3 linked regions of the Xenopus tropicalis genome follow. The protein of the gene in region 1 interacts with the protein of each later gene in a biochemical or structural test. Links are inferred from orthologs where the notes say so. Each region holds a gene or a part of one and is shown on either strand. Other genes may lie near its edges. The genes, in order: creb1, rps6ka5 and cdk1.

Region 1 (10,846 bases):
ATCCTGGAAACTTCTGAGATCCTCTACACATTTCACATGGTTCACCACACTTCCTCAGGAGATACTGGTACCTTTGCACTTTAATCTACTTTATTGAAGGTACTGCACAAGCCAACTGTTGTCATGTCACAAGAGGTAATTAATGTTACTATTTTTGGTTTTATGGGTAAATAAAAATCTCAAAAATTGAGAGCAGCAATGTCAAAAGTGATTGTTTGGCTCTATTTTCCATAGTGCAGCATGGCACTTCTCTATGGCTTGCAGCCTTTTAATATTTTCTCTCCTATTTTAGGGAGCTTGTTCGTTAGTATTTTTAGCTGAGATTAAAATTGGAATTTATACAGTAAATTAAAGGACCTTTAAGATAAATTTAATTCATTACATTTTTTTTTTTTAGTCCTGCCCGTTAAATGTTTCAAGTAAAGTAAAAATCAGTGTTAATGGTAGTATGCATGCCATGCGCTCTTCTTTATGATTTTTTAATAAAAGCCTCTACCTGATCCATTTTGCAGTAGAGCTTTAGATAATACGAGGTCATTCCATACTACCAAAACACTACAGAAAACGGTTTTTGTTCATTTTTTTAAACTTAAATATACTTTCTGGAAGCGATTTATTATTTTCAAAATGCTGAGCGTCTGTGAATGCTTTTGGGCTTAATATAACTAGTGTTTTTGATGCTGTTATAAGCTAAGTTAAGCGTAATTGTCTTTCTTAATAAATGTGGTATTCCTGTAGCTGAGTGGATCAGGTTTTGGAGAAAATCAGCGGCATAAACACTGGTATGTTTAAGAAAAAAACTCTGGCAAAATAGTGACAGTATTGTTTTGTCACAGAAAAATAATTTGCAGGCAAACAAAAAACACAGTTTCATTCATTTTCAATAATTTTAATGAATTGGAGAAAAAATTGGTTTCTTGAAATCTTTAATAATAGGAATTCAAGACAATTGGAATTCATTCACATTGCAGTTCCCATTAAGTTTTTCCATGCAAACTTTTTTTTTTTTAAACAAATCTTAACTATTTGAGTTTTCAAAAAGTATTCTTGCATATATTCAGGTTTTTTAAATACATTTATTGTTGCGTTTTTTTGTTTGTTTGTTTTTTCTCAGATCATGGAATATTGCAGTCTTGTTTGAATCCTGTTAAATCCTGCATTAATCATTTTGCGCCTCCATGACTACATACTCTGTGACAGTTTAATTTTATATATTACTGAGCTTTTGTATTGAGCTGGGCCAGGAAAAAAGCTGTGCACTGCAGGTTTCCATGGAATAAGCTTATAAATGCATGGGCTAGGGATGGTTGTAAATGTTCTGTCATTCTTTAATTATCTTTAGAAACCTTTTCATAGATCGGAGAAATTAAAGAGCACTTATCAAAGGAAAATTGTTGAAAAAAATGCTGATAGTGAGTTCTGTGCCCCAACTGGGGGGGAGATCAGCCACTAAAAGCATGTAAATGTGGTTGTGTCCAAACTTGTTTTCTATGCGCATGTGCGTGACATCACAAGCATGCGCATAATGAGAAATCCAAGTAGCCCTTTCATTAAGCACTTCCTTGTGGCGAAACATGTCCAGCATCCCAGCATAACTTTTTGACAATTATGTTCTCTACTAGCCCTCCCCCCAATACAGTGGATATAAAAACTTAACACACCCCTGCAAAATGGCAGGTTTTTGTTTAATAAAAAAAGTAACTAAGATAAATCTTGCCGGAACTTATTCCACATTTATTGCAATTTATACAAAGAAGTTGCAAGCTAATCAGAAACAGTTTAGTGAAAAGAGAAAAGAAATAATCCATACAAAAACCTGGTTGCACACCCTCCAAACTAATACGTGGTTGAAGAACCTTTTGATATTATTACAGAGCTCAGACTTGAGTCTGTTAGTTTGGCAATTTTTGGCCAAAATTTTTCTAAATTTGTCAAACTGACTTGATTATTAAATAGTGTGCATTGTAATGCAACTAGTTTTTTTGTATACATTTTTGCTACTTGTATAGATGGCAATTTTTGCAATACAGGTGAAATACTTTGACAGGATTGATTTATCTTGTTTTTTTTTTTTTTTTTTTTTTTTTTTTATAGGGGTTTGAAAACTTTTTATATACCCTGTAGGTGCTCTTTAAAGGCTGATTTAATAACAGGTGTTTAATAATAGGTGTTAAATAACACCAGTCTAGTTGCCAATCAGAGTAATTATAATCAGTTTACAAGTTTGACAACTGCACTACTAGTACACTTTAGTACTTCTGTATATTAGTAAATGTGTCTTCTAATATCTAAATTTAGGGGAAAATGACATGGCTGGGTATGTGTGGTCCATGTTTAGTTCTGTGGTAATTCCAGGTAAGGGTAAAAGACTTTATTCACTACAATTTCCAGGTAACTAAATGACCATGGAATCTGGTGCAGAGACACAGCAGAGTGGAGATGCCGCTGTCACAGAGGCAGAAGCCCAACAGATGACAATACAGACCCAACCACAGATTGCAACATTAGCACAGGTATAGAGTGGTTAATTGCTTTCTTATTGACGCCATGCAACTAATTAAGGCTCAAACATTCAAATTCATCATAAAATGCAGCTTTTTTTTGTTTGCCATGCATTACTGGTACCACTATCTGCTTAATTCTCCTGCCATTATGGCTTTTTTCCCTTAAACACCGCTTTGTGGAAGCTGACAATGTTCCTTTATTAAAATATTTAGAACACTAATTCTGTTTTGCTTTTTCTCTATAAAATAGGTATCCATGGCGGCTGCACATGCAACCTCATCTGCTCCTACAGTAACATTAGTTCAGTTACCCAATGGACAGACAGTTCAAGTTCATGGAGTTATCCAAGCTGCACAGCCTTCTGTCATACAGTCCCCACAAGTACAAACAGTGCAAGTAAGTAGTTTTTGTGAGTTTAAATTCTATAAAGAACATTGTCTTTGCACTAAATAAACATCACTTATTATGTGTTGCCTATTAACTTTAATTGCTCATTTAAAATAGTTGCAGCTTAGATCTTATAGATTATAGGTTCCAAAACCGAGATTCTTGAAGCCAAAGATATAAGGGGGACACCCTTGGTGAGCAACTTCTTATATGTACAGGTTCTGGATTGCTTTTTACACTTTGTACCATGCACAAATATCATAACCTTAGCTGAGCTCTGATTTAATAATGTTATTCAAACTAAAAGCCATACAGATTGTTTTGAGTGAATTTGAAGTGAAGGTCCAGACTAATTGTTGATTTTGTGAATCTGTCGGGATCATATAAAAATGCAATAATGTTGGTTTGGTTAAAATTATTCACTCAACTTAAGTAGGTTAGTGACACACGGGGAGATTAGTCACCCCTACTAATCTCCCTTCAATGCCGTCCCACCTGCAAGAATGTAAATTGCTGGTGGAATGGCATACACGTTGCTTCGTTTTCTTGAGATGCGATTTTGGGAAAACAAAGCAATGCGTGTGCCATCCCTCCGGTGATTTACATTTTTGCCGGTGGGATAGCATTGTGGGGAGATTAGTCGCCTGCGGTAATGTAGATTTGTCCCTGTGTGTCACTGCCCTCAGCTAGCAAGATTTAGCCAGTCAGATCAATTATATGAAAATTAAGCCGGAGGGGGAAGAAAAGTGTAGTAGAGCTTCAGTCCTTAACTTCCTTCTTTGGCATTCTGCACATAATACAGGCAGGGGTTTTAGCAATCCCAGGTTAAGTCTGTGATGTGCAACTCGAGTGCACATCACAACTCTTATATTAAAAATAATTTATTTTAAATAATAAAGATGATTTAGTAAAATGTTTTTAATGAGGTTGACTTATTTGGTAGGATGCAGTTTACCCTAGTAACCAGGCATTAGTTTGAATGAGAGACTAGAAAATGAATAGGGCAGGCCTAACTAGAAAGATGCTCAAAGAGTAATGATAAAACTTGATTTCATCAAAGGATATGAAAAGCCTAATTTTAATACATTTCCAACAGGTAGGGCTCTTAAATAGAAATTCATAGGCCCTTACTATTGTGCCCTATAGTACACAGTTTCTAGTGCAGCTCATAATCAGCGCATGGTTTTCAAGTACTTGGGTGACATCACTACTGCCTATTACTTGATCCCTGGGGCTTAGACTAAATGTATGCATAGAAACAATCTGAGAAGTTTGCTTGTGCATTTAAAATTTAAAGCTTTCTGATGTAGAGGAGTTAGAAGCATGCATTTACAGATGTTCAGTCATGTGTATGACATCAACAGATAAGATAGTGACCACAAAGCAGTCAGTACTTTGCAGAAACTGATTACTGGCAAAGTAAGGCATTGAATCAGTTGTTGTTTTATAGCCCCACCTCATCATGGTAGTTCTGGACAAAACTATATAAAAGCAGTACAATACATTACAGTAGTGCAAAATGGGAAACTTTAGCTCTTCAAGTTTTCAACTATGAATCTAGTCTCACTTGAAAGGTGTGCTTTAGTGAAGTTTGTCAAAATGTTGCACCCACTTCAGCTTCTTTTTAGGGCTCTGGCACACGGGGAGATTAGTCGCACGTGACAAATCTCCCTGTTCGCGGGCGACTTACATTTTCGGCGCTGGGATGGCAGTTTGGGGAGATTAGTTGCCTGTGACAAGGGAGATTTGTCGCGGGCGACTAATCTCCCCGTGTGCCAGAGCCCTTATGGGGACAATGCAAATAAAAATACCCATAAACTTGTAACCCTAAATATTAATTTTATCATTTTGTGTGTCTAATGAATGAGTTTCAAGTGTTGCCTTAGAAAAGCAAGGAAAGGCTGTATTAAACTGTAATTCTAAAGAATGTGTTTGATAGCGTATCCAGTTTTGAAATGCACCACCCTAATTTAGTACGAACAATAAAAATTTAGGTACTTTAATGGAGAAGGAAAGGTAAAAACTAAGTAAGCTTTATCAGAAAGTCTATGAAAATACAGCCATAAGCACTTACAGTAATGCTGCACTGAGTCCTCTATCAATAGAAACACATGATGTCTTGTCTGTTTTTTTTGTAAAGATGTTGTTGGGGTATCTGACTTTCCTAAAAAAGATTCCAGGGAAAAGTCACGTGAAACCCTACATTAAAGGAAAACTATACCCCCAAGCAATGTAGGTCTATATAAAAATTATAGTAGTATGTGTTATTAGGTACTCCTAAATAGAAAATTTACATTTTAAGCAGGGCTGTGGAGTCGGTAGATAAATTCTCTGACTCCCGACTCCTCAGTTTCTGATACTTCCGACTCCACGACTCCGACTCCTCTGTTTTTAATATGCTAATGTATTTTATACATTCATACAGTCAATGAAAAGCATGCTTCATGGTCACTCAGCGTGTTCGTTTATGCACTGTGTGCATTGGGCTTTATTCTTATAGCAGAGAAGTAATTAATTTTGACTGTTTGTGAATTGGGACATTTAAACTTGCTTTATTTTTTTTTTTATTCCCGTTTAAATTTAGTAGGAGTCAGAGTCGGTTCCAGATACCCAAAATTGCCTCCGACTCCACAGCCCTGATTTTAAGAATCAAGGGCCGCCTCCTGAGATAATAGAATTTACAGTGCACACATACATGCAAGGCCACATCAGCCAATTAATGGACAGAGTTCTACCTTTTGCTTCCACACTTCTTGTTACAGTTAGAGCTGCATTATTTCTGGTCATGTGATCTCTGAGGGAGCACACAGACCCTCACTAAATGGTGGCTCAAGGGAAAGGATGTAAAAAAGCAATATTTACTGATATATATATTCCAGTTTGGCAAGATTCTTTAATAGGTTATATTATGTTAAGTGACCTATCTGTTTGTTAAGTATTCTTTCTGGCGGTATAGTTTTCCTTTAACCTGCAAATTTAGAATACACACAAAAAATGTATTCAGTATATATTCTAAGGCACAAATCTTTATTAACTATTTAACTGGAGTATTTGTTGCATGAACAGATTTCCACTATTGCTGAAAGCGAAGATTCTCAAGAATCAGTAGACAGTGTTACTGACTCTCAAAAACGCAGAGAAATTTTGTCCAGGAGACCATCATACAGGTAACTTCTAAGTTGATATATAACAAATACTTGGTTATTAATTTAACATTTAGTTGCTTGAGCTGAGGGTTTACATTGTATGTTTTTGTTTCAGGGAATCATTTGCACATCCCTGTCCTGCTTGACCAGCATCTGCCTAATACTTAAAATGCTGGATTGCATTATATAACTAAAGGATGTTTGGCTGATTATTCCATAGTAATTACAAATTGCACATACTTACATTCATGTCAGGCAGGAACATGACTCCAACACTGCGCGTTTAATAATAAATTTGAATGCCAACTATTCTGCACTGACAATGCTATGATCTTTGTACCTGGGTACTTAATATATTTATTATTGCATTTTATTTGGAACAGGGGCCCCAATTTATCTTTGAAGTCTATTCCCTACCCTTTGTGTCTTTTTTAGTAAGTCATGTGCAAGTGTTTTACACTGTAAGGAGTGCATCATTCAGGGGTCAGGTGATTCCTTTTCTTTTTGCTAATATCTATATCCCCTGTCAGACAACACTTTTATCATTGCCTTTCTTTGGAATATTAAGGGCAAGGGCACATGGGGCGATTAGTTGGCGCAAGTTTTAATAATTCTGACGTGGCAACGAATCATAGCGATTTAGCTGCCATAGGTTAATATGAGTTGCTGTGACCAGTCATGCACTATTTGCAGCTTCCCGATTAGTCATTGCAGCGACGAATCACTCCGTGTGTCTTCACCTTTGCAGTGCCAGTATTTTATTGTTCTTAGGCTTCTTTGGTTTTCATTATAGATATATAATCTCTCACTGGCAGCGTCCTTTAAATTCATGTGTTATTCTCTAATTGTTTGCTCTTTTTTCTCTTACTGCACATGTTTATTCATAGTACAACACAAGGGTGACATGTTGGATTTCCAAAATCGTACTGAAAAGTTTAAGAAAAACATACATGTTAAAAAACTGATACTCCATAAGCTTTTATTTCATATTTGTCTTTGACCATTTTGTATTACAAGCAGCTATTTATTTTGTAAAAAACTAGTGAGAGACCATAATTTATTACCCTTTTTTTAGTTGCATTAGTCCTGAGATATTATTTGTTAAATAAAATGTACTTGTACCTTTGTTTCTCCAGAAAAATTTTAAATGACTTGTCTTCAGATGCTCCAGGAGTACCAAGAATTGAGGAGGAAAAATCAGAAGAAGAAACTTCGGCTCCTGCTATCACAACAGTTACTGTTCCAACTCCTATCTATCAAACCAGCAGTGGACAGTATAGTAAGTACTATTTGTGTCATAGGATACAAACCCCCTAATTTACTTTTGTACATTGATTAAATCTGAAGATTTATCAGATGTTAATTACATTAGCTGAATATATTTTGTTTTTTAGGCAGTAAAGAAAGGACACGTAGCCACAAAAGACCCAAATATGGGTTGAAATTGCAATTAAGGCCCTTGTTTTTGGCAAATTAAAGAGTCCAAGCTATTTTTTACTCAAATGGATTCTGTCATGATTTTTATTGTGTACTTTTTATTTCTAAATTACACTGTTTACATAGCAAATAATTCACTCTACTATTTAAAATTTTATTCTTGAACCAAGGAATGGATTCTTTTAGTTGTAATACTGGTGTGTAGGCAGCCATCTTGGTGCATTATGCCCAAGTCTGAGCTTTTGGAATGCTCTTTGTAAAGCCAGTGCTACTCGTTAGAACTGTTTTTAGATAACCTATTGTTTTGCCTACTCCCACGCAACCAGAGGAGTCCCAAGCTGGACTTGAATTTCTTACTGAGTGCTATTCTGATATTTACTGGAAGCTGCTATCCTGCTGGAGAAGTTCTATTAACTGACAGTCCTTTAAATATATAAAATGTACAGTTGAGCATATCTTCTTGAAATTGCGTTGATCTTGATTTTTTTTTTTTATAATTTTAAAGTTGCTATTACCCAAGGAGGAGCAATACAGCTTGCTAACAATGGTACAGATGGAGTGCAAGGACTTCAGACATTAACCATGGCTAATACAACAGCATCCCAACCAGGAACCACCATTTTACAATATGCACAGACCACAGATGGACAGCAGATACTTGTTCCTAGCAATCAAGTTGTTGTCCAAGGTAAGATAAAGATCAAGATACTTTGTTTTTCACAGATTCTGAATATTATATTTTTCTCTCTCATTAAGTATCAATGACATTTTTAGCCCCTAAAACTGGGTTTTTATATTCGTGTATACTGCTACAGTCATCAGTTTGGGCTTTGTTTGAGCTGTGATGCAGCTACCGTTTTAAAAGTAATTAAAGTGATGGCTGCTCATTATTACATTCAATAACTCCCTGTTTGGGTGATCCTCTTATATAGGGGCCATACATTGGCTTGGCCAAAGCACATTTCCACATAATAATTTCAGTTTTGCCATACTTAGGGTGAAACCTAAATTTAGAAGAGTGCAATATCCAGCATTATCAAAACCTTTTATTATTAGCAATGATACTGAACGCAAAACCTATAGAGGGTGGTTGATCTATATGAGGAGATTTACATGATAATGATGGCTAGAATCTGAAATCTGCCAAAAACCCTTTTCCAGTGCACAGTGACTTCTTGTGGATTTTGCTCTACTTTTCTTAAGCTTTAATACTAGCTATATTGTATTTGTCCTCGTATAAATAGGCAGGAATAGATTTCTAGCTGATAGCGTCCTGCCTCCTTGAACAGAGAAGAGTTAGCCACGTAGTGCCATTATCCAACCTATGGAAATCCAGAAACACAATAATCCCCAAAACCTTGTTATCTATAATTGATATTGTAAACTTTGTTTTTGGAGAATTATGTTGTTAATCTCTTCATAAAGATTACATTCCTAACATTATTCTATTTTAGATGCAGTAACTGTTGTATTGGTGCAGGGTTAGTTACTGCATCCTCTTATTTGGCGAGCCGAATCGGGCTTATCCAATCATTGACCCAACTGGGATAACAGTTGGTATGAAAATATGAGCGCTTATAGGCACACAAAGTCACTTCCTTTGTTTTGCAATCAAGATAGATGTGACTTCAGAAAGACTGAATCAAGTTGTTTCCACTTTAACACATGTAAAGTCTAGATTATTTGGCAGATACGGTACCATTCTTGTACAAATTGTACTAAATACATAAATAGATCTATATTAAATACATACAATATATTTTGTAATGCATTGCTTCTCAGCTGCCTCAGGAGATGTACAGACATACCAGATCCGTACAGCACCTACCAGCACTATTGCACCAGGAGTGGTAATGGCTTCTTCTCCTGCACTTCCTGCCCAGCCTGCTGAAGAGGCTGCACGAAAACGAGAAGTGAGGCTTATGAAAAACAGGTGCGTACAATTATTTATATTGGAAACAAAGATTAAAGAGGGATTATCACTAAAAAAAAAAGTATGTATATTTAGTGCTTATGATCCACCCTAATAGATTTTATAGCACATTAAAGGAAAAGTGACGCTTAAAAATTTTAACTAAAAAATCTATTCTACCATCCCCCAATAATTGCCCTATCCTGAAAACTATTTGTTATTTATAATGCTTTTGAAGAAAATACCTGTAAAAAAACTTGGCTTCCGGTCATTTCAACAAAGGCGATATGGCAACGCAGAGAAAGTTTCAGGGGATATGGCCATGCAGGAGAAAGTATCGGGTGAAGTTTAACTATGCGGTGATTTATTGATCGAGTCTAGCCTGACTCCTTCCTATACAGAAGGAAGGCTAGACTCGATCAGTCGATCGCCGCATAGTTAAACTTCACCGGATACTTTCTCCTGCATGGCCATATCCCCTGATCTTTCCCTGCGTCGCCATATTGCCTTTGTTGAAATGACTGGAAGCCAAGTTTTTTACAGGTATTTTCTTCTAAAGCATTATAAATAACAAATAGTTTTCAGGATAGGGCAATTATTGGGGGAGGGTAGAATAGATTTTTTAGTTAAAAATTTTCAACGTTACTTTTCCTTTAAAAATACCAAGCATTTTTTATTAGCAAAAACAATTTTTTGTTTTTTCAGCTTTTAGTTGCAAGTTAGTAGCAAGTTCTCTTTCAAAACCTAAATGTCACAAGCGACAAAGGAAGGTGCTCTGTAATTTTCAGCCTTAGCTTTAAATGCCCCTATATTCCTATCCAACCATTCATTTCGTTTTCTGTGGTGTGTGCCAGTATTCAATTTTTCTATGTGCCACACTAGTCATAGGATTTATTTTTTTTTTCACTCTGTGACCATGTCTGTCTTTTGCATGAACAGCACTCTATCAATTAAACATTTTTAGGAGATTGCATTAAGGTGGAAGGCAAGCAAAGAAACTTCTACAGTGCAGAAAAATAAATTTTACACTAGTAAAGTATTAATATTGTATCCCTTTAAATTGCAATATAAAATATAATAAGGAAATTCAGTCATGTCATAGTACGCAATTTTTATTCTCAACCCTCCTTTAAAACCTGCTAGATTTCTCTCCAACAACATTTTGGCAGCCAGGTTTTCTGAATGTCCATTAGTTTTTAAAGTTTGCATGAACTAAGTTAAGTTGAAGTTTTAACATTTAGTTCTGGTGCTCTTGCTGGTTTAATTAAATGGTGTTTGCTTGTACTAGACATCTGCAAGGAAACCATAGGAAAAGCAGTCACCCGCAGATTTTTTTTTTTTACAGAAGAAAACTGTTAATCATGTGTGTTATAAAGTAAACTGCATTGGAGGGTTAGGGCATTGGTACCTACCAAATTGGTTAATTTAAGAAGATCAGCGCCCTCGATTTTAAGTCTCA
Region 2 (11,375 bases), on another chromosome or scaffold:
GAATATTCTAGCCCAAGATTTGAAAACACTACTGAAAATACTATAAAATACAGAAACATTTCATTATTACTTAAATAAAAATTTAAGTAATTTTCAGCTTCAGCTGTTACAGTTCACAAAATATGATGCTTATTGATTTGCACCTAGACGTTGATCAATTGATTTTATTGGAAATTAAAAGAAATGATTCTTAATGTAATTTAAAAATGATTTTACCTAAGGGGTCTTTCCATAATTTGGATCTTTATACCTTAAGTCTACTAAGAAATCAATAAAATATTAATTAAACCCAATAGGATTATTTTACATCCGGTAGGGATTAATTATATCTTAGTTGGGATCAAATACAAAGCACTGTTTTATTTTTACAGAAAAAAAGGAAATCAGTTTTCAAAATCTGAATTATTTCATTAAAATGGGGTCTATGGGAGACAGGCTTCCCGTAATTCGGGCTTTCTGGATATCAGGTATATCAAAGGATTCCATACCTTTATTACCATTTTTTTAAAATTTGAGCATCTTAAACCATTTCATCCACTGCACCCACTTTCCTGAGCAGGAAGGATTTTCTTAATCTGTTTATAGAGTGGTCCAAGTCCTCTCTTGGCTTCAATCATAATCCCTCACTTGCCTTCTTGGCACACAGCTAGCAGTTACACTTTCACTGCTTAAAAAAAAAGTCAGAACACTGCTACTCTGCCACAAAAACAAATTCTGTATCTGGAGATATAAGGTCACATGGGCACAATGTACTCTGAAATTTCTGTATCCAAATGTACAAAAGTTGGGTAATGCAGAAAGTGACAGAAATTAACGCTCTGGAACCTTTTAATATACCTTTAATATACAGGGGCTGATTCACCAAAGGTTGTTAACACTTAACACATAGTTTTATGCGTTAAAAAGTGTTTGTTAATTAAGTAACGATTCATCAAAGTAATTTTGCATGCGTTACTACTCATATCGCATGAGCAAAATCTCAATTATCGCAAAGCATTATGTCCATCACATTGTGATAATTATCTAATAGAAATAATACTAATGCATAATTCACAGACAAATTTTAAGCGTTAAAAGAATGGAAAATCGCGATAATCAGTGCTAATATTAACACCTCCTAGGTGTGGGCGTTACTCAAAAAACCTTGCGGTTTGGGAGCGTTTGTGAAGACATCATGAAGTTTGCAGTCCGATTTTTGTTGGATTGTGAAGAAGAGAATGAAGTATGTAAATGTCTTAGAGTGATGCATCCTCAAGTTTTCAGGGAACCTGTCATTTTCAGAATGGCAGTTTTCAGAAAGTAACGTAATATTTTTAACGCATTTTTTCAGCCTTTAGTGTGAAATTCAATATAATTTGGTCAATATGGTCATTTAGCTTCAATTTGCAAAACGTTTCTGTTTGGACCATTTCATCCTAATATAAATATACGTTTTGGGGAAAACCCCAAAAAGTTTATTTTGCCGAAAATCTACCAAAATCTTTAAATTAGTATAAAAATAAAATGATTTCAATAACATATCCACTCTATTACTGAAAGCTATTTCAGTTCCCAATAATTGCAACATAATATTTTCTGATACCTTGTAAATAGCCTATTCTATTTCTTTAAAAAAATGCCAAAAGAGAAACAAAATATCTACATAGGTCTCCTTCTGTGTTCTTCCAGTTGAGCACAATGTGTGGTTGTTTCTCTCTGTACTACTATACATCAAATTTACAACTTTGCATCCTCTAATTATAAGAAAAGTTCCATCACTATTATGATGGCAAAGATTAAGGCTCAGATTATGAGGAATGTAAAATGCAGCATACACACTTTCACAACTTCCCTAGTTCACAACTACACTGTGATGGTAACATAGGTCCTAACCCGTATGTTGGCATGAAAATCTGCCAACAGGCCAAGAATTTAAGGAGCCACACATAAAAAGGATTTGTTGACCTTGATCAACTGTCCATGATTATCTGCATCTGAGGGCAGTGACTTGTGATTGAAATTCCAACAATTATAGATTGAGAATTGGTTTGCAGGAAGCAAATTAATAATATCTCTATGTCTAACAGCATATGCACTTGTTGAAGTACAGAAGAAGACTACACACAAATATAGGTTAGGGGAAGGATGCCAATGAATCAGACACAGGATAAGGAAGTATTCCAATAACACACAAACAGGCTAAGGGGAGGTGCCAGTATACACAGTGTGAGATATGTATGCCACTAAAACACAAGGGAAAGATGACAATAACACACAGAGGGGGGATGCCCATGACATATATGCACTAGCTTAAATTGAGATGACAATAGCATATATGCACTGGCTAAGGAAGGAAAGCCAGTATTATATACAAACAGAATAAGTAAGACTGGCTATAAGACACACATGATGAAAAAAAAGATATCAATATAAAAATAAAACACTTGCAGGCTGAGGAAGAAATAGCAAAACACGCATATGGGCTGAGCAAGAGGCAGCAACACATGTATACAGGCTGAGGGAAAGGTAGCAATACACGTATACAGGCTGAGCAAGAGGCAGCAACACATATACAGGCTAAAAGAAAGGCAGCAACACAAACATACAGGCTAAGAGGAAACAGACTGACCAAAAGACAGCAACACACATATACAGGCTGAAGGAAAGGAAGCAACACACACATACAGGCTCAGGGAAAGACAGCAACACACACATACAGGCTCAGGGAAAGACAGCAACACACACATACAGGCTCAGGGAAAGACAGCAACACACACATACAGGCTCAGGGAAAGACAGCAACACACACATACAGGTTTAGGGAAAGACAGCAACACACACATACAGGCTCAGAGAAAGGCAGCAACACACGTATACAGACTGAGGGATAGGCAGTAACACACACTTATAGGCTAAGGGGAAAGGCAGCAACACACACATACAGGCTAAGGGGAAAGGCAGCAACACACACATACAGGCTCAGGGAAAGACAGCAACACACACATACAGGCTCAGGGAAAGACAGCAACACATGTATACAGACTGAGGGATAGGCAGCAACACACACTTATAGGCTAAAGGAAATGCAGCAACACAAACATGTAGGCTAAGGGGAAAGACAGCAACACACACATACAGGCTCAGGGAAAGACAGCAACACACACATACAGGTTTAGGGAAAGACAGCAACACACACATACAGGCTCAGAGAAAGGCAGCAACACACGTATACAGACTGAGGGATAGGCAGTAACACACACTTATAGGCTAAGGGGAAAGGCAGCAACACACACATACAGGCTCAGGGAAAGACAGCAACACACACATACAGGCTCAGGGAAAGACAGCAACACACACATACAGGCTCAGGGAAAGACAGCAACACACACATACAGGCTCAGGGAAAGACAGCAACACACACATACAGGCTCAGGGAAAGACAGCAACACACACATACAGGCTCAGGGAAAGACAGCAACACACACATACAGGCTCAGGGAAAGGCAGCAACACACACATACAGGCTCAGGGAAAGGCAGCAACACACACATACAGGCTCAGGGAAAGGCAGCAACACATGTATACAGACTGAGGGATAGGCAGCAACACACACTTACAGGCTAAAGGAAAGGCAGCAACACAAACATGCAGGCTAAGGGGAAAGGCAGCAACACACACATACAGGCTGACCGAAAGACAGGAACACACATACAGGCTGAGGGGAAAGGCAGCAACACATATACAGGCTGAGTGACACAAATATAAACGTAAAGAGGCCGCAATATACACACACACACATACATGTAGAGAGAGAGAGTGCAAGCAACATAAACAAGTTTGATGGAGAGACATCAACAGACATACATAAGGGCTGAGAAAGAGGCAGAAACACATACAGTCAGGAGAGATAGCAATGTGCCCACAGAGGGGGAAACAAAAAACCACACAATCACACAGAATGAATAAGTAACAGCAACACACACACAGCCTGAAGGAAAGACATACATACACACACATAAGAGCTTAGGGAGAGACCAAAATTTACACATAGGCTAAATGAAAGAAAGCAATACATTCATGCACATCGGCTGAGGGATGGGAATCAATACACACACGCACAAACACGATAAAGAGAAAGCAATCTATACACACAGGCTTCGTAAGAAAAAGTTATTCAAACACAAACAGGCGGTGTGAAATACAGCAATACAGACAGTGTGAGAGAGATACACAACACACTTATATGCAGGTTAAGGGAGGGGCAGCAATACACACAGGCTGAGAAGAAGACAGCAACAAACACACATGCATACAGGATAAGAGGCAGCAATACACACAAACACACACACAGGCTAAAGTACAGAGCAATATATGCACAAAGACTGAAGGACAGACAAAAACACAAACATAAAACTAAAAAGAAAAAGAGCCATTTGACAGGCCCAGGTAGACACAAAAATAACACAAATCCAGCCTGAATGAGAGGCAGCACTACACCCAGACAACACACAGAGCTGTGAGGTTACAGCCATAACACAGAGGGGTGAGGGAACGGCAGCAATATTCACATACAGGGGAGGGACAGCAATAATACACACGGTGCTGCGGTGTTACCAACACACACACACAGAAGGCGGAATGCCAAACACACATACAGGCAGGGGAAGGATGCTAATAAGACATTCACAGATGCAGTACTGCATATAACACACTCGAACTTTCTATAAGAGGTCAAGGGACGGATACAACACTCTTACATAACACATCTCTTCTAAACAGAGGTTGTCAGTAACATTCTACGACTGACGACTGCCTCAGGAAGTCACAAAACATAATTTAGATGACTAATATATAACTTCCCAGGTCCCCTTTGGACGCTTACCTGTCCGCAGTTCGTGCTTCACAGTGAGCAGGTCACCTTCCTGTGAGGGCCCTTCCATGTCCTGTCAAGGCGTGAACCCCAAGATAAGCACCTTGCGTATGTACAGTTTATCTATTGCTATGGTTGACGCTTGCCTGCTTATACACTTCCTACAGTGTGCCGCTCATCACCTTGCACTCCCCTGCCCTTCCAAACCCTGAGCCAACCCGATACAGCCCTCCACTCCGTTCCACTACGGCACGGAGCAACCCAGCGCCCTTCCAGGGGGCTCTACCTAACTTGCCCTGGCATCAACGACCTTATTGGTTAATGCGAAGACAGAAGGTGGAGCTAGGCGCACCCGTACCCCGGAGATTCCCTTCCCAGCAAACTCCAAGGTTGTAACAGAGTAGGGGCGGATCCCCGGCCTAACAACACTTCCAAGCCAGAGCTTCACTGACTGGAGCTATGTAGAAGCACCGCCTATTCACTCTATTCTGATTGGATTTCCCATATAGTCTATGTATACAAGAGTTCCCGCCTTTTCTTTTAACCCAAGGTGTTGGTGAGGATTCTGTATGCGTTGTAAGTGTTTTCTGTAACTGTAGTGTTTAACCCTTTAAGTGCCAGCCGAATTCGTCATTTCAGTTCCCCCCAGTGCCAGACATTTTGTAAACATTCTGTGCTCTCTCAATGTAGGGGCTTTTACTGGGGGCAGGGTTAAGTTTAGGTAGGCAAACTATATATTGTTTTTTTCAGGAGAACCTGAGCTTTCCAAATCTACCTGAGTTTTTGTGTATTTCCACTTCTGGAACAAGATTTAGAGCTTGAAATACAAAAAAAAAAAAGAAAAATGCTATTTTTCATGATATAAGGATTTCTACCAGAAACATATTTTATTTTATGGACAAAAATTCAACTGATTTGGAAAGCCTCATGTCTCCCGAACGTGCCAATACCTGATATGTATAGTTTTATTGAGATTTCTGACTTCTATAGATCAAAAACTCCCAGCAGTAAATTACTAAATTTTCAAAGCATTACAGCAGAATACGGCATACTTTACATTCCAAAGCCAAAAATCCTGGAACATTAGGTTTACCCAAGGAAACCATACATTTTTGAAAACTACACATTCTGACGAATCCGTAATGGGTAACTATGTCTTCCAACTCCTAAGTACCAAACAGCAATGCTTTACTGAATTTAGCATTTTCTATAAAAAATTATGAAAATTCTAAAAAATCACCTCAAATCTTCCACTTTCAAGCACCTTATCTCCCACATAACATTAGGTACCAAGAAAACACACCCTAAATATGAAAGCCAGGGGTCCACTGAACGGTTTGATGCCCATTGTGCATAGGATCACCGATGTATCTGGCATTTAGAAACCCCAAAAGGAAGTTAGTACATACAAATTGCCCAGGAGATCTCTTTTGCTACTGAAAATTCAATACATTTACTGCATTTTCTGTGGGGTAAAAACACAAAAAATACATTGACCCCCCAAAACCATATATTTTTGGAAAGTACACATTCGGACGAATTCAAAATTGGTACCCATGTCTTTCTACTCCAAACTACAGAGTCGCAATGCTTTCCCAAAATTGCCAGTTTTGATGAAATACCTAAAAATCACATCAAATCTTCCACTTTCAAGCACCTTATCTCCCAGATAACATTAGGTACCAAAAGAACAAACGCTAAATATGAAAGCCAAGGGTCCGCTGAACAGTTTGATGCCCATTGTGCATAGGATCACCAATGTATCTGGCATTTAGAGACCCCATAAGGAAGTTAGTGCATACAAATTGCCCAGGAGATCTCTTTAGCTACTGAAAATTCAACACACGTACTGCATTTTCTGTGGGGTAAAAACACAAAAAAATACATTGACCCCCCAAAACCATATATTTTTGGAAAGTACACATTCAGGCGAATTCAAAATTGGTACCCATGTCTTTCTACTCCAAACTACAGAGTCGCAGTGCTTTCCCAAAATTGCTAGTTTTGGTGAAATACCTGAAAATCACATCAAATCTTCCACTTTCAAGCACCTTATCTCCCACATAACATTAGGTACCAAGAAAACACACCCTAAATATGAAAGCCAAGGGTCCGCTGAACAGTTTGATGCCCATTGTGCATAGGATCAGCACTGTATCTGGCATTTAGAGACCCCATAAGGACGTCAGTGCATAGAGATTGCCCCAGAGGTCTCTTTAGCTACTGAAAATTCAACACGTTTACTGCATTTTCTGTGGGGTAAAAACACAAAAAAATACATTGACCCCCCAAAACCATATATTTTTGGAAAGTACACATTCGGGCGAATTCAAAATTGGTACCCATGTCTTTCTACTCCAAACTACAGAGTCGCAGTGCTTTCCCAAAATTGCTAGTTTTGGTGAAATACCTGAAAATCACATCAAATCTTCCACTTTCAAGCACCTTATCTCCCACATAACATTAGGTACCAAGAAAACACACCCTAAATATGAAAGCTAAGGGTCCACTGAACAGTTTGATGCCCATTGTGCATAGGATCACTGATGTATCTGGCATTTAGAGACCCCAAAAGTAAGTTAGTGCATAGAGATTGCCCCAGAGGTCTCTTTAGCTACTGAAAATTCAACACATTTACTGCATTTTCTGTGGGGTAAAAACACAAAAAAATACATTGACCCCCCAAAACCATATATTTTTGGAAAGTACACATTCGGGCGAATTCAAAATTGGTACCCATGTCTTTCTACTCCAAACTACAGAGTCGCAGTGCTTTCCCAAAATTGCTAGTTTTGGTGAAATACCTGAAAATCACATCAAATCTTCCACTTTCAAGCACCTTATCTCCCACATAACATTAGGTACCAAGAAAACACACCCTAAATATGAAAGCCAAGGGTCCACTGAACAGTTTGATGCCCATTGTGCATAGGATCACTGATGTATCTGGCATTTAGAGACCCCAAAAGGAAGTTAGTGCATAGAGATTGCCCCAGAGGTCTCTTTAGCTACTGAAAATTCAACACATTTACTGCATTTTCTGTGGGGTAAAAACACAAAAAAATACATTGACCCCCCAAAACCATATATTTTTGGAAAGTACACATTCGGGCGAATTCAAAATTGGTACCCATGTCTTTCTACTCCAAACTACAGAGTCGCAGTGCTTTCCCAAAATTGCTAGTTTTGGTGAAATACCTGAAAATCACATCAAATCTTCCACTTTCAAGCACCTTATCTCCCACATAACATTAGGTACCAAGAAAACACACCCTAAATATGAAAGCTAAGGGTCCACTGAACAGTTTGATGCCCATTGTGCATAGGATCACTGATGTATCTGGCATTTAGAGACCCCAAAAGGAAGTTAGTGCATAGAGATTGCCCCAGAGGTCTCTTTAGCTACTGAAAATTCAACACATTTACTGCATTTTCTGTGGGGTAAAAACACAAAAAAATACATTGACCCCCCAAAACCATATATTTTTGGAAAGTACACATTCGGGCGAATTCAAAATTGGTACCCATGTCTTTCTACTCCAAACTACAGAGTCGCAGTGCTTTCCCAAAATTGCTAGTTTTGGTGAAATACCTGAAAATCACATCAAATCTTCCACTTTCAAGCACCTTATCTCCCACATAACATTAGGTACCAAGAAAACACACCCTAAATATGAAAGCCAAGGGTCCGCTGAACAGTTTGATGCCCATTGTGCATAGGATCACCACTGTATCTGGCATTTAGAGACCCCATAAGGAAGTTAGTGCATAGAGATTGCCCCAGAGGTCTCTTTAGCTACTGAAAATTCAACACGTTTACTGCATTTTCTGTGGGGTAAAAACACAAAAAAATACATTGACCCCCCAAAACCATATATTTTTGGAAAGTACACATTCGGGCGAATTCAAAATTGGTACCCATGTCTTTCTACTCCAAACTACAGAGTCGCAGTGCTTTCCCAAAATTGCTAGTTTTGGTGAAATACCTGAAAATCACATCAAATCTTCCACTTTCAAGCACCTTATCTCCCACATAACATTAGGTACCAAGAAAACACACCCTAAATATGAAAGCCAAGGGTCCGCTGAACAGTTTGATGCCCATTGTGCATAGGATCACCACTGTATCTGGCATTTAGAGACCCCATAAGGAAGTTAGTGCATAGAGATTGCCCCAGAGGTCTCTTTAGCTACTGAAAATTCAACACATTTACTGCATTTTCTGTGGGGTAAAAACACAAAAAAATACATTGACCCCCCAAAACCATATATTTTTGGAAAGTACACATTCGGGCGAATTCAAAATTGGTACCCATGTCTTTCTACTCCAAACTACAGAGTCGCAGTGCTTTCCCAAAATTGCTAGTTTTGGTGAAATACCTGAAAATCACATCAAATCTTCCACTTTCAAGCACCTTATCTCCCACATAACATTAGGTACCAAGAAAACACACCCTAAATATGAAAGCCAAGGGTCCACTGAACAGTTTGATGCCCATTGTGCATAGGATCACTGATGTATCTGGCATTTAGAGACCCCAAAAGGAAGTTAGTGCATACAAAGTGTATATACTGCAATATAAGCTACCGGCATGTGCATTATGCGGCATAAGACCCCCTAACAGTTAGGAGACTCTAGAAAACCATATATTTTCCGAAAGTACACATTCTGACAAAACAAAAATGGGTAAATACATCTTTCTACTGCAAACTACCACACTACAAAGCTATGCTAAACAGAACGGTTTTTATGACATTTCTGAAAATTGTCACAAAGCTTGCATTTTACCCCATTATGTATCCCCACATTTTGTACCGTATCAACATAAAACATTCTAAATATGAACGCCATGGGTCTACTGAACAGTTTGATGCCCTATATGCATAGATTTACCAAACTATGTGGGGTACAGGGGCACCCAAGCAAAAATAGTGCATATGAATTTTCACATAAGACGCTCTGGCTCATGCAGTTTTTGCACCCGGTATGTGTATTATGCGGCATAAGATCCCCTAACAGTACAGAGACCCTAGAAAACCATATATTTTCCGAAAGTACACATTCTGACAAAACAAAAATGGGTAAATACATCTTTCTACTGCAAACTACCAAACTACAAAGCTATGCTAAACAGAACGGTTTTTATGACATTTCTGAAAATTGTCACAAAGCTTGCATTTTACCCCATTATGTATCCCCACATTTTGTACCGTATCAACATAAAACATTCTAAATATGAACGCCATGGGTCTACTGAACAGTTTGATGCCCTATATGCATAGATTTACCAAACTATGTGGGGTACAGGGGCACCCAAGTAAAAATAGTGCATATGAATTTTCACATAAGACGCTCCGGCTCATGCAGTTTTTGCACCAGGTATGTGTATTATGCGGCATAAGATCCCCTAACAGTACAGAGACCCTAGAAAACCATATATTTTCCGAAAGTACACATTCTGACAAAACAAAAATGAGTAAATACATCTTTCTACTGCAAACTACCAAACTTCAAAGCTATGCTAAACAGAACGGTTTTTATGACATTTCTGAAAATTGTCACAAAGCTTGCATTTTACCCCATTATGTACCCCCACATTTTGTACCGTATCAACATAAAACATTCTAAATATGAACGCCAGGGGCCTACTGAACAGTTTGATGCCCTATATGCATAGATTTACCAAACTATGTGGGGTACAGGGGCACCCAAGTAAAAATAGTGCATATGAATTTTCACATAAGACGCTCCGGCTCATGCAGTTTTTGCACCAGGTATGTGTATTATGCGGCATAAGATCCCCTAACAGTACAGAGACCCTAGAAAACCATATATTTTCCGAAAGTACACATTCTGACAAAACAAAAATGGGTAAATACATCTTTCTACTGCAAACTACCAAACTACAAAGCTATGCTAAACAGAACGGTTTTTATGACATTTCTGAAAATTGTCACAAAGCTTGCATTTTACCCCATTATGTACCCCCACATTTTGTACCGTATCAACATAAAACATTCTAAATATGAACGCCAGGGGCCTACTGAACAGTTTGATGCCCTATATGCATAGATTTACCAAACTATGTGGGGTACAGGGGCACCCAAGTAAAAATAGTGCATATGAATTTTCACATAAGACGCTCCGGCTCATGCAGTTTTTGCACCCGGTATGTGTATTATGCGGCATAAGATCCCCTAACAGTACAGAGACCCTAGAAAACCATATATTTTCCGAAAGTACACATTCTGACAAAACACAAATGGGTAAATACATCTTTCTACTGCAAACTACCAAACTACAAAGCTATGCTAAACAGAACGGTTTTTATGACATTTCTGAAAATTGTCACAAAGCTTGCATTTTACCCCATTATGTACCCCCACATTTAGTAACGTATCAACATAAAACATTCTAACTATGAACGCCAGGGGTCTACTGAACAGTTTGATGCCCAATATGAATAGATTTACCAAACTATGTGGGGTACAGAGGATGCCAAATTGAAATACAGCAGACAAAATG
Region 3 (10,494 bases), on another chromosome or scaffold:
CTTAATAACACACTAATCACAACTGCACTAAACACAACACTCACCAAAATACAAGTGAAACACATACAAGTCTTCACAACAGTGAAAACAATATTCTTAAGAATGCCCCATCACTTACAACTAATAATTAATATGTTTCTAATTTGCTTACTCTTTTGATCTGCCCCAATCCCGTCTTGCCGTTCCACTCTGTCCTAGCAACCTGGAAAATCCTCTCTTTAACCAGTACTAAATAAACAACCACACCCACAAAAAGTAGTACAATTCACTAAATAACCAAGAAGACAGGACTACGATAAAAACGGCAGACGAACCATAGATGAAAACAACAATAAGGTCACAACAATTCAGGAATAATTTTCCCTCACATCAATCGCAAAGCCACATATATTAGTATCGATCCCAGTAATCTATACTCACCCCTCTATAAATAGTATTGTGTTTTAGTTACAGAAATTACACCATTCAAAAAAAAGCAGAAATCTTAAGAAATCGCATGAATCACAACACGAATAACACATAAATCCATTTCCACTAACGCCAGAAGCCAACAATGGCCACATACAATAAATTAAGAACAACATCCCTAGTACACATACAGCAAAACCCTCGATCGAACTCCCACAACAACACAAGCTGGCACCCCCCCCTATCCCCACAATTCGGCACCAAAGAGAGATATATTCCGCGGATAACATGTCTTTGAATCCCACATGTCCTCACTCTAGTATTTCCTAAGCATGAACGAAATATGGGCTGCTTAACACCTTCTACGCAAACCCTCTATAGTCTCTGCTAACCTAGAATATTATAATTTAAAGCTAATACAACAACAGATAATTAAATCCAAACACAATCACTTAGTTTATGCTCCAGATCATACACTCACTATCATTCTAAGTTGGAAGATACATAGTACGCCAGACTCTCTCAAAAATGAGTAATCCTCAATTAAATAAACAGAAGAAAAAAATAGCAAGAGCATTACATTTAAACCAAAATACTTTATACATAGAACAACCCAGCATCACCTCGAAATAAAGCGCGTTCATGCTCCACCACCATATTATATGAGCAGTAACCCTATTAAATAAAGGATTCACATGTATTGTAAATTCATTAACTCATCAAATTTAACACCAACGCAAGTTCGCTACGGGAAACTCAACACTTAATTATAAAGTACCCCCTCTACAAAAATTATCAACATGTCACAATCCCGTCTCATTTAAACACAATAATCCCTACAGAAGAAATAAAACTGGAAATCATCTTAAATCAACTCCATCGCTCAAAATTAAACCCCCAACTCTTACACGACCTCATATATCTCCCCCCACCCACCTAACGGTACTAAATATATATTAATCAACGACTACCATATAAAGGACAACCACTATACAACTGCGATGTCCCAACCTTCACTTTATAAACTAAGACCCGAGACTTAATTAACTACTCATGCACTTGAAGTTCCGCTCCCCATACCTCTTAAGTAGCTATCAAATACCCGAACTGACCCTGATTCTAATATCACAAGAAAAGGAATATTATATCACCATAGTATCTCCACTCACTTTTGTTTATAAGATGACATTTTTACATTAATCTTCCTACGCTAATATATACAAACACACTTCCCACCACACACACCCGGCACACAGATCAAAACAAACAACAACAATCAGCACCCACTTCTCACTGCCACACTAAAACCCACCACAATCCAAGACCCCATCTCCCCACTCTCCTCACACCACACACCAAAGTTCCTACATCCGATAACTATCACTCAGTAATCGCAAGAGCTGATCATAAACAGCACCCAACCCCTCACTTATAACCGTAAAATCTGTCATCCCCTACTTATAAATAAATTATCCCAGTTCTTACCCATACACAGAACAGGCCGAACTCACCCTCTCCCCTTACACCAACTCTAAACCTAAACCAATAGAACTGTTTCTCTCCCACAGATAAGCCGCACACCGCCACTACACTCATCCATTATCTTATACCAAATAAACCCATCCTCAGAACATCAACTCACAGTACATCTCCTCTCACCTCTTCCACTCACCCCACCCACCACAAATACGCGCCCCGCACCCACCTTCCAACCCTCATCTCACTACCTTAACCACATTCTCACCCCACATACACCCTTACCTCCCCAAATAAGGCCCCTCAACCCCCCCCACGAAAGCCCTACCCCACACCCCTCCGCTCTACCTCATACCTCCACTCACCTTGGATCAACAGTACACGCACACACTCGCCCTCCTCCACTAAGACATATAACTAGGAATCCACCTCCTACCCCTAACATACCCAACTCCTAATACCCTACCACCCCCACTATAGCCCTCTCACCTGTCCCCCCTGAATACCTCCAACAATACAGAAAGTCCAAACTTATTAATCTTAGTTGGCAGCACCAACTCAGCCCACATCACCACACATCACATTCCTACACATCTCACTACAACCACGTCTACCCACCTCCCCCACAAACAAAGGCAACCCAATCACCAATTCAATATCTACCACCACAGACATACCAAAGAAGCCTTCGGAATCATTTAACCAATTCAATATAAAACCCAATTTAGATACTTCTAAGCCCCCCAAATATAGAAGCCACCTTAATATATCTTACGTTGGCATCACCTCAATACTATTTATCTATACACAGACGAAAAAGAATCATAACCAGGCAGTCGCAATATAAAAAAAAAAAAAAAAACTATTGCTCTGAGGCTACAATTTTATTACTTTTTAGTAAATATCTTTCTATGCAGGCCTTCTACAATTCATATGCCCATATTTAAACCACTGCCTGGTTGCTAGGTTAAGACCCTAGCAACCATATAGCTGCTAAAATACCAAAATAGAAAGCTGCAAACAAAAGCTAAACAGAAAAACCTTCATTTTTAAGACTAATTGCAAATAGTCCTCTTTTGACTCTTTTCAGCTTTCAAATGAAGATCACTGACCCCGGCATCCAAAAAACTATTGCTCTGTGAGGCTACAATTTTACGGTTATTCTTAATTTTCATTACCTAACTTTCTATTCATTTATTACTCGCCTATTTATATTCCAGTCTCTCATTCAAACTGCTGCCTGGTTGCTATGGTAAAGACACTAAAGCAACCAGATAGCTGTTTAAAACCAAAACTGCTAAACAAAGCTAAATGAAAAACCACCAAAAATAAAATATGAAGACCAATTGCAAACTGTCTTAGAATACCGGTATACACAATACTAAATGTTTATTTAATGGTGAACTACCCACTTAATGTGGCATAGGACAGACAATAACCCCCACCCCAATAAAAAAATAATAAAGCAAGCTGACCGTATCAGGAATATATAATAAAGCTTTATTGGAAATGAAATGTCTGTGTGGGAAATGCATTTATACACAGGTTTGGTCAGTCCATATTTACATTTAGAGTGTGGTGCTTTAAGGTAAGTACTTCGGGCGCCGAGACACATACACACATATACATCAACGTACAGACAGTAAAAAAAACGAAAGTGATTTACATCAGATTCCCACCCAGAAACCCAAGAGAAGAGACGCTCAGTGTGTTAATTTCTAATCTGATTGGCAGGAAGGCTGGACTTATCCAAGTCATCAAAGTAGGGGTGCAGCAACGCTTTACGCGCAGAAATTCTCTTGGCGGGATCGTAGATTAGCATTTTCTGTAAAAGTAGCAAGAAAAAAGGAGTCAGTCTCAGAGCAAACCCACTTTTATCCCCATCTTATACAAGGTAAGCCCCCCCCAACACACCCCTTTATAAAGCGCTGCTCTCCGTCCCCTGAATACAGCCCCACAGTCGCCTATAACCCAATCGCCATTAGATATCCCCCCATACTCACAGACAGCAGGTCCAGCCCATCCTTATCGATATTTTTCACATTCGCCGACAGATTTCCGCCTTTCCATTTGGGGAATGTGTTCTTGTAATCTTGTAAAGACTCCACTTCAGGCCACACTTCATTGTTGGGCGTTCCCAGAGCTCTGCAAAATGCCAATCAGTTGCTTTAATTGCAGCAATTAGGGGTTTCTGTGATTCTGAAGGGGTTTTTATTGCATTTAGATGGGTCCTGGCCCAGACTAGGTAGAGACTCCCACTGACCACATCCCCGCACTTAAAATAAAGCTAATATTTTAGTTGCATATTTGTTTTTGGGGTTTCAGAAGATTATAAATCTCATATTGGGCTCCTAATGGTTCAGGACAGCAGATGCATCAGAAATATATAGGGCTAAAGTGCACAAGCATATCCTCTGCCTGTGGAAAGGTGTTCACGTTTCAGAATGCTAGCGAATGGCCAATTAGCAACTTTTGGACTCTCTCAAGCCTTTAGGTTTTTAGCTGATTTGGTCAGTGGCCCCAACATATTGCTCTAAAGCAGGGGTGCGGTCCACCAGAAGTTCGTGGGGGATCGACTGGTGGACCGCGATCAACTTTTTGGCCACCCCTGCTCTAAAGCTACTGTGATGCCCACCCAGAAGGCATTAGCACCGTCAGACCACATCAACAAGCCAATGTGGCTCCTGATCCAACGGTAAATCAAACCTGCCCGAACAAGGGCGAAAGTATTCAGTGCATGGTTGCTAGGGTAACTGACCAGATAGCGCTACAAGTACATTTAAGGTAGTTAACCTTAAAAATAACCGATCATGACGTAGAGTGATGTTATAAGACTAATTGGTCTTTGTTTAATTTGCGGCTTTTGGATTATTTAACTTTATCATTTAGAACTCTCTAGTTTGAAATTCAGCAAAGACCAATTACTCAACATCACTCTACATCACGATCCATTAACGGCTTCAGCCACACAAGCGTAAAGGCCATTTTCCAGCTGTAAATTCTCGGACTGCAGTGTATAAACAAGTTTTACTTTAAAAAAAAAAAAAAAAAAAATGTTCTTCATATAAGGGTTTCAGTGAAATGCTGCCCACCAATTAAAACTGAGCGTTCAAAGTCCTGTATCAGTGAATTATACTCCTCTAGATATAGAAGAATTGTGCTTTAAAAAAAAAAAAAAAAAAAAAAAAAAGTGTGTTTCGGACTAATTTATTGAGAAATTCCACATAAACCCCACTAGTCCCGCCCATCTGTTCCACTTCCTGCTGGGGAGGAGAGCCAACAGCTCTCATTTCACCGCACTGTAGGATAGGAACCAATCAGCAGCTAGACTGACCCGATAGGGAATTGAAGCCTGGGCTGTGATTGGCTCTCCCCGTCCTACTGTGCTTCAGACGGAGACCGTTAGGACACGCCCACCTTACATTTGAAACATGGACAGAGAACCTATAGGATCTATAGGGAGCTCCAATAAAGGGGCCATTGTTACAGATAGGATTAATGTTTAGCCCAAAGTGAAACCAGCACCGTATATTATTCATAATTGCCTACAAAATTATAGGGGTTTTTTCTATTTATCCAATACGTCTTATTTAAAGATAGAAAGGTACCTGAATATCCTGAAGAGCTGGTCAATTTCAGAGTCGCCATGGAAGAGGGGTTTCTTTGTGGCAATCTCAGCGAAAATGGTTCCTATGCTCCATACGTCGACCGGTGTGGAATATCGGACTGACCCCAACAGCACTTCTGGGGCTCTGTACCATAACGTCACTACCTGTAACCAGACACTGGGTTATTCTGATATTCCCGTCACAGTCAGCAGCCCCCCCCCCCATATAAACCCATTCTCATCAACTATTGCTTTATAGCAACAGTATAATAAAGGCTTTATCACCAGGGGTAGGAAGTGGTGAAAACTGCACCAGCCTAGGGTAATATTGCATAAAAGTCCCAATAATCCTAGCTACTCCGCTGGGTGGCATGCAAGTGTAATAGACAAAATCCAAACTTCTGCTCAATTGTACAGAAAGCAAGATGGCGGCGTGGCACTGTGTGTGCAGTTTTCATTGGAGAGGAGCCCCAGCAATTATAAGCACTGGAGGCTGCCTAGCAAGTTGCCCCCCACTCCCCCATGATGAAGTCTTTCCTTCTCTTTAAGGCAGTTTTTACAGCTATAAATTACAGCAATGATCCCCAACCAGTGGCTTGTGAGGAACTTGTTGCTCCTCAACCCCTTGGATGTTGCTCCCAGTGTCCCCAAAGCCAGTGCTTATTTTGAATTTCTGGTAAGCAGGCAAGTTTTGATTGAATAAAACCCCAGTGTAATCGCCAGACAGCCTTTTGTAGGCTTCCAGTCAACATAGGGGCTACCAAATAGCCAATTATAGTTCTCAGTGGCACCTTCAGGAACTTTTTTCCATGCTTGTTTTGCTCCCCAAAACTTTTCCCATTTGAATGTGGCTCACAGGTATAAGGTTGGGGATCCCTGAATTACAGGATAACTGGGTGCAATGGGGGGGGGGGGATGTAAAACCTGCACAAAGAGACCCAGTAATTGACCCTGAGGAAAGGCTCTCCCCTACAGCCAGTTTGTTGGACCTCAACTGGTTGCAGAGAAAAGCAGTGTGAAGGATGGGGGGGGGGGGGGGGGGGGGGTTTCAGATGGAGGAATAATACCGATAACTCACCTCATGTGTGTAAACCCGAACCGGAATGCCAAAAGCTCTGGCAAGGCCAAAATCTGCCAACTTTATCACTCCTTTGCTGTCGATCAGCAGGTTTTGAGGCTTCAGATCCCTGTGTAACACTCTTCTGGAGTGGCAAAATACAATCCCTTGTAGGATCTGGTAGAGGTAACTCTGGGGGAAGGGAAACAAACCAGAACCGTTAAAAAGCATATATATATTATATATATATATATATATATATATATATATATATATATATATATATATATATATATATATATATATATATATTGTATATGTATATTTTAGGATAATATATGGCTGAATGCCTGACAAAACTGTGGCTGTGAATTCATAGATCTTTAGAGAAGAGACTTCCCTTTGTAGTCCAAGGGCAATGGCCCATGGGGAGATTAGTTGCCCGCGGTTATCTCTTTGCAACCGCAAGCGACTAATCGGGCAACTAATAGTTTAGGCCCCGACTCTGCAGTCAACATTTTTCAGTTCAAATATATGAAAGCCTGGTTGCAAATTGCTATTCTGTAGTTCTAGGATATTAAAAAAAAGTTAAAGACTTGCAGTTTAATGTTTAAGGTACATTTACTTCAGAATAAGATGATTAAACATAATGTCTGTGGGGCTTTCATGACAAATATGGGCAGTGCATTTGGTTTGTAGGGGCCCCATTGTCATCCATGGGTATACTAACAGTATGGTACAGTGGAATGTTTCATTCCAATTGGCTTTCAAGCTGCTACAATTTTGTTACTTTTAATGACGTATCTTTCTGTTCAGCCCCTCTCCTGTTCATCTTTTCATTCACTCCACTGCCTGGTTGCTTTTTAATGTAATATGGTTTGGAACAGTTCCCTGAGCCCCGCCCCCTGTTCCCCTGCTGATCTGGCTGGCTACTTTGTGACTCAAATAAAATGTAACAGTAGTTGCCTGTCCTCAGCCTGCATCCTCCCAATCCCACAATTCCCTGCACACGTGATGTCAATAAGGAGGGGAACATCCCAGTGCAATGCATTGTGGGTTATGTAGTCCCTGCATGTCATCTGTAAGCTGTGGAGAAGTTGTTACAATTTGTAATGTTTTAGTCCCTCCTCCCCTGCCAGGATTTCCAGTGATGCAAACAGGGAAGAACTGTTTTGCAGCTGGATTTCAGCATATAAATATGGGATTTATTCAGACTGTTTGAAGGAACATAACAGTAGGTATATTAGGGGCTTGTATTGTGTGGGGCTCTTTAACCTATTTTGGTTCAGAAGCCGGAGTTCCCCTTTAAACAAGGGAGGATACTGCCCCTTTAAAAAATACCAAAACCAAAACTTTGGATTATGCAGCAGCGCCATGCCCTTGACGAGAGATCCTGATGATGGCAGCTGTCCAGAATTATTTATTTTTGGAGCTACAGTGGCCCGGAATTACAGAACTAGTTGACTACAGAGTAACCAGGTACCTGCTTGCTGCTAGTAATTGTTTGCTAAATCCATAACAGTTCACCCCCCTCCACACTTCCCCAGGCTACAACAAGGAGATATACAGCAAGTGCTGTTCTGACTGGATGCCACTGGCCCCCATCATGGCACCATTTCCCTAAATGGGAGGCGGGCATTTTCTGGAGATACACAGCCCCATTGCGTAACATGCATGGCTGCACCATTAGGCAATATTCCTAAGAAAGAAACTGCTGATTACCTTAACAAGCATTGTATCTATATACTGGCCGCTGGGTATTGAGTCTAAATACTTCTTCAGATCCATGGAGAGAAACTCAAAGATGAGGTACAACCTTGAGTCTTGCATCAGGACATCTAGAAGGCTGGAAAGAAAAAAGAAACGCGTCAGCGCCACGGCTGTTTCCTGGAATTATTTCCCCCTTCAACCTATAGCCAATCAGCAGCTTTATAAATAACCAATGCTTAAACTCTGTAGGGGGAAGCAGGGTATCACTTACCAAACTATGTTGGGGTGCTGAAGTTCTTTCAGTAGTGATATTTCTCTAATCGCTGTGCTTGGGACGCCCTCCTCTTCGTTTTCCAACCGAATTTTCTTCATTGCAACCACCTGGCCTGTTGCTTTATGGCGACCCTTGTACACAACCCCGTATGTGCCTGGGAGGAACAGAAAGATAGGATGAGGCCCCCCAGATTCCAATAGGCCTTGTCTGTAGGGTGCAGAAATAAAGCCCCTATCCATCCCTTGAGGTCATGAGATGTGCTTGGTTACTATACACAGGCCCTTATACACCCCCATTGCTCAGAATATCTGACAGTCTGTATAAGTTGCCTCTCCGTACTTGTATAGATAACATCGTATGAACCTTTGTACCATTTTCAGTGGAAAACTGATCCCAGCCAATATGCATGTGCAGGTATGGGATCCCTTATCTGGAAACCAGTTATCCAGAAAGGTCTGAATTACGGGAAGGCTATCTCCTATAAACTCCATTATAAGCAAATAATTCTAATTTTTAAAAAGGATTCCCTGTTCTCTGTAATAATAATAAAACAGTACCTGTACTTGATCCCAACTAAGATATAATTACCCCTTATTGGGGCAGAACAACCCTATTGGGTTTATTTAATGGTTAAATGATTCCCTTTTCTCTGTAATAATAAAACAGTACCTGTACTTGATCCCAACTAAGATATAATTACCCCTTATTGGGGGCAGAACAGCCCTATTGGGTTTATTTCATGGTTAAATGATTCCCTTTTCTCTGTAATAATAAAACAGTACCTGTACTTGATCCCAACTAAGATATAATTACCCCTTATTGGGGGCAGAACAGCCCTATTGGGTTTATTTCATGGTTAAATGATTCCCTTTTCTCTGTAATAAGAAAACAGTACCTGTACTTGATCCCAACTAAGATATAATTACCCCTTATTGGGGGCAGAACAGCCCTATTGGGTTTATTTCATGGTTAAATGATTCCTTTTTCTCTGTAATAATAAAACAGTACCTGTACTTGATCCCAACTAAGATATAATTACCCCTTATTGGGGGCAGAACAGCCCTATTGGGTTTATTTAATGGTTAAATGATTCCCTTTTCTCTGTAATAATAAAACAGTACCTGTACTTGATCCCAACTAAGATATAATTACCCCTTATTGGGGGCAGAACATCCCTATTGGGTTTATTTCATGGTTAAATGATTCCCTTTTCTCTGTAATAATAATAAAACAGTATCTAGTATTGGGTTTATTTAATATTTAAATGATTTTTAGCAGATTTAAGTCATGGATAGGCCCTTATCCGGAAAACCTCAGGTCCCGAGCATTCTGGATAACAGGTCCCATACCCTAACTATGGTTAGCATTCAATTTGGGGGAACAGGGCAAGCTGCTATGGTGCATCAGGAGATTAGGAAGTAAAGGGCAACTGCTGTTCCTACACTTCCTGCTGTGTAAGCCCCCTAGCCCAGCGCCCTTCCTTTGGGCCTGAAGTGCCAGTACGCTTTCAAGCCAAGTACAGATACAAGGCAATGCAGAAAATGGAGAGTGGGGGGGACAGAAACCCATGAACTGTAGGAGCTTTACCCAGACAAGGCAAGGAATATACAAAAAACACACACCTACAATTAAAATAAATCATGGACTACATAGTTAGAGATCACGTCACAACCCCCGAATGTAAAAAATGAGCCAGCTGGGCACCCTGGTTGGCACCAAATATGCTCAGAATGCATGTTGTTCAGGCTGGACATAGATCCCTAATTATTTCTCACCAACATCATTGGCAAAATAAATTTAGATTCCATATGTCCCATGAAAAAAGCCCAGTGTGTATTTCGCCCTTTCAGGCTTCCTTGGCAGCACTTTGAGAAATGGGCAAGGAAAATGCCCATTTATATCCATTTTCTGTATATGACCCTGGGAGGTTCCCACACCTTTTGGGTTGACCCGGTATATAGC

The links.
Region 2: of the proteins of creb1 (region 1) and rps6ka5, one has a biochemical effect on the other in vitro, tested with the Homo sapiens proteins (3 studies listed by BioGRID, with this or other methods). The link is inferred for Xenopus tropicalis from reciprocal best matches to the Homo sapiens genes CREB1 and RPS6KA5.
Region 3: of the proteins of creb1 (region 1) and cdk1, one has a biochemical effect on the other in vitro, tested with the Homo sapiens proteins (2 studies listed by BioGRID). The link is inferred for Xenopus tropicalis from reciprocal best matches to the Homo sapiens genes CREB1 and CDK1.

The regions. Positions count from the first base shown.
Region 1 is NC_030685.2:49,764,934-49,775,779, reverse strand, and holds part of creb1 (cyclic AMP-responsive element-binding protein 1), read left to right. Parts: intron 1-2,391; 5' UTR 2,392-2,399; coding exon 2,400-2,513; intron 2,514-2,754; coding exon 2,755-2,901; intron 2,902-5,958; coding exon 5,959-6,059; intron 6,060-7,174; coding exon 7,175-7,317; intron 7,318-7,980; coding exon 7,981-8,163; intron 8,164-9,257; coding exon 9,258-9,408; intron 9,409-10,846.
Region 2 is NC_030684.2:86,957,877-86,969,251, forward strand, and holds the start of rps6ka5 (ribosomal protein S6 kinase alpha-5), read right to left. Parts: upstream 5,275-11,375; 5' UTR 4,920-5,274; coding exon 4,862-4,919; intron 1-4,861. UniProt on the Homo sapiens protein: Serine/threonine-protein kinase that is required for the mitogen or stress-induced phosphorylation of the transcription factors CREB1 and ATF1 and for the regulation of the transcription factors RELA, STAT3 and ETV1/ER81, and that contributes to gene activation by histone phosphorylation and functions in the regulation of inflammatory genes.
Region 3 is NC_030683.2:16,804,267-16,814,760, reverse strand, and holds the end of cdk1 (cyclin-dependent kinase 1), read right to left. Parts: intron 8,687-10,494; coding exon 8,530-8,686; intron 8,395-8,529; coding exon 8,271-8,394; intron 6,741-8,270; coding exon 6,570-6,740; intron 5,657-6,569; coding exon 5,493-5,656; intron 4,030-5,492; coding exon 3,888-4,029; intron 3,710-3,887; coding exon 3,596-3,709; 3' UTR 3,370-3,595; downstream 1-3,369. UniProt on the Homo sapiens protein: Plays a key role in the control of the eukaryotic cell cycle by modulating the centrosome cycle as well as mitotic onset; promotes G2-M transition via association with multiple interphase cyclins.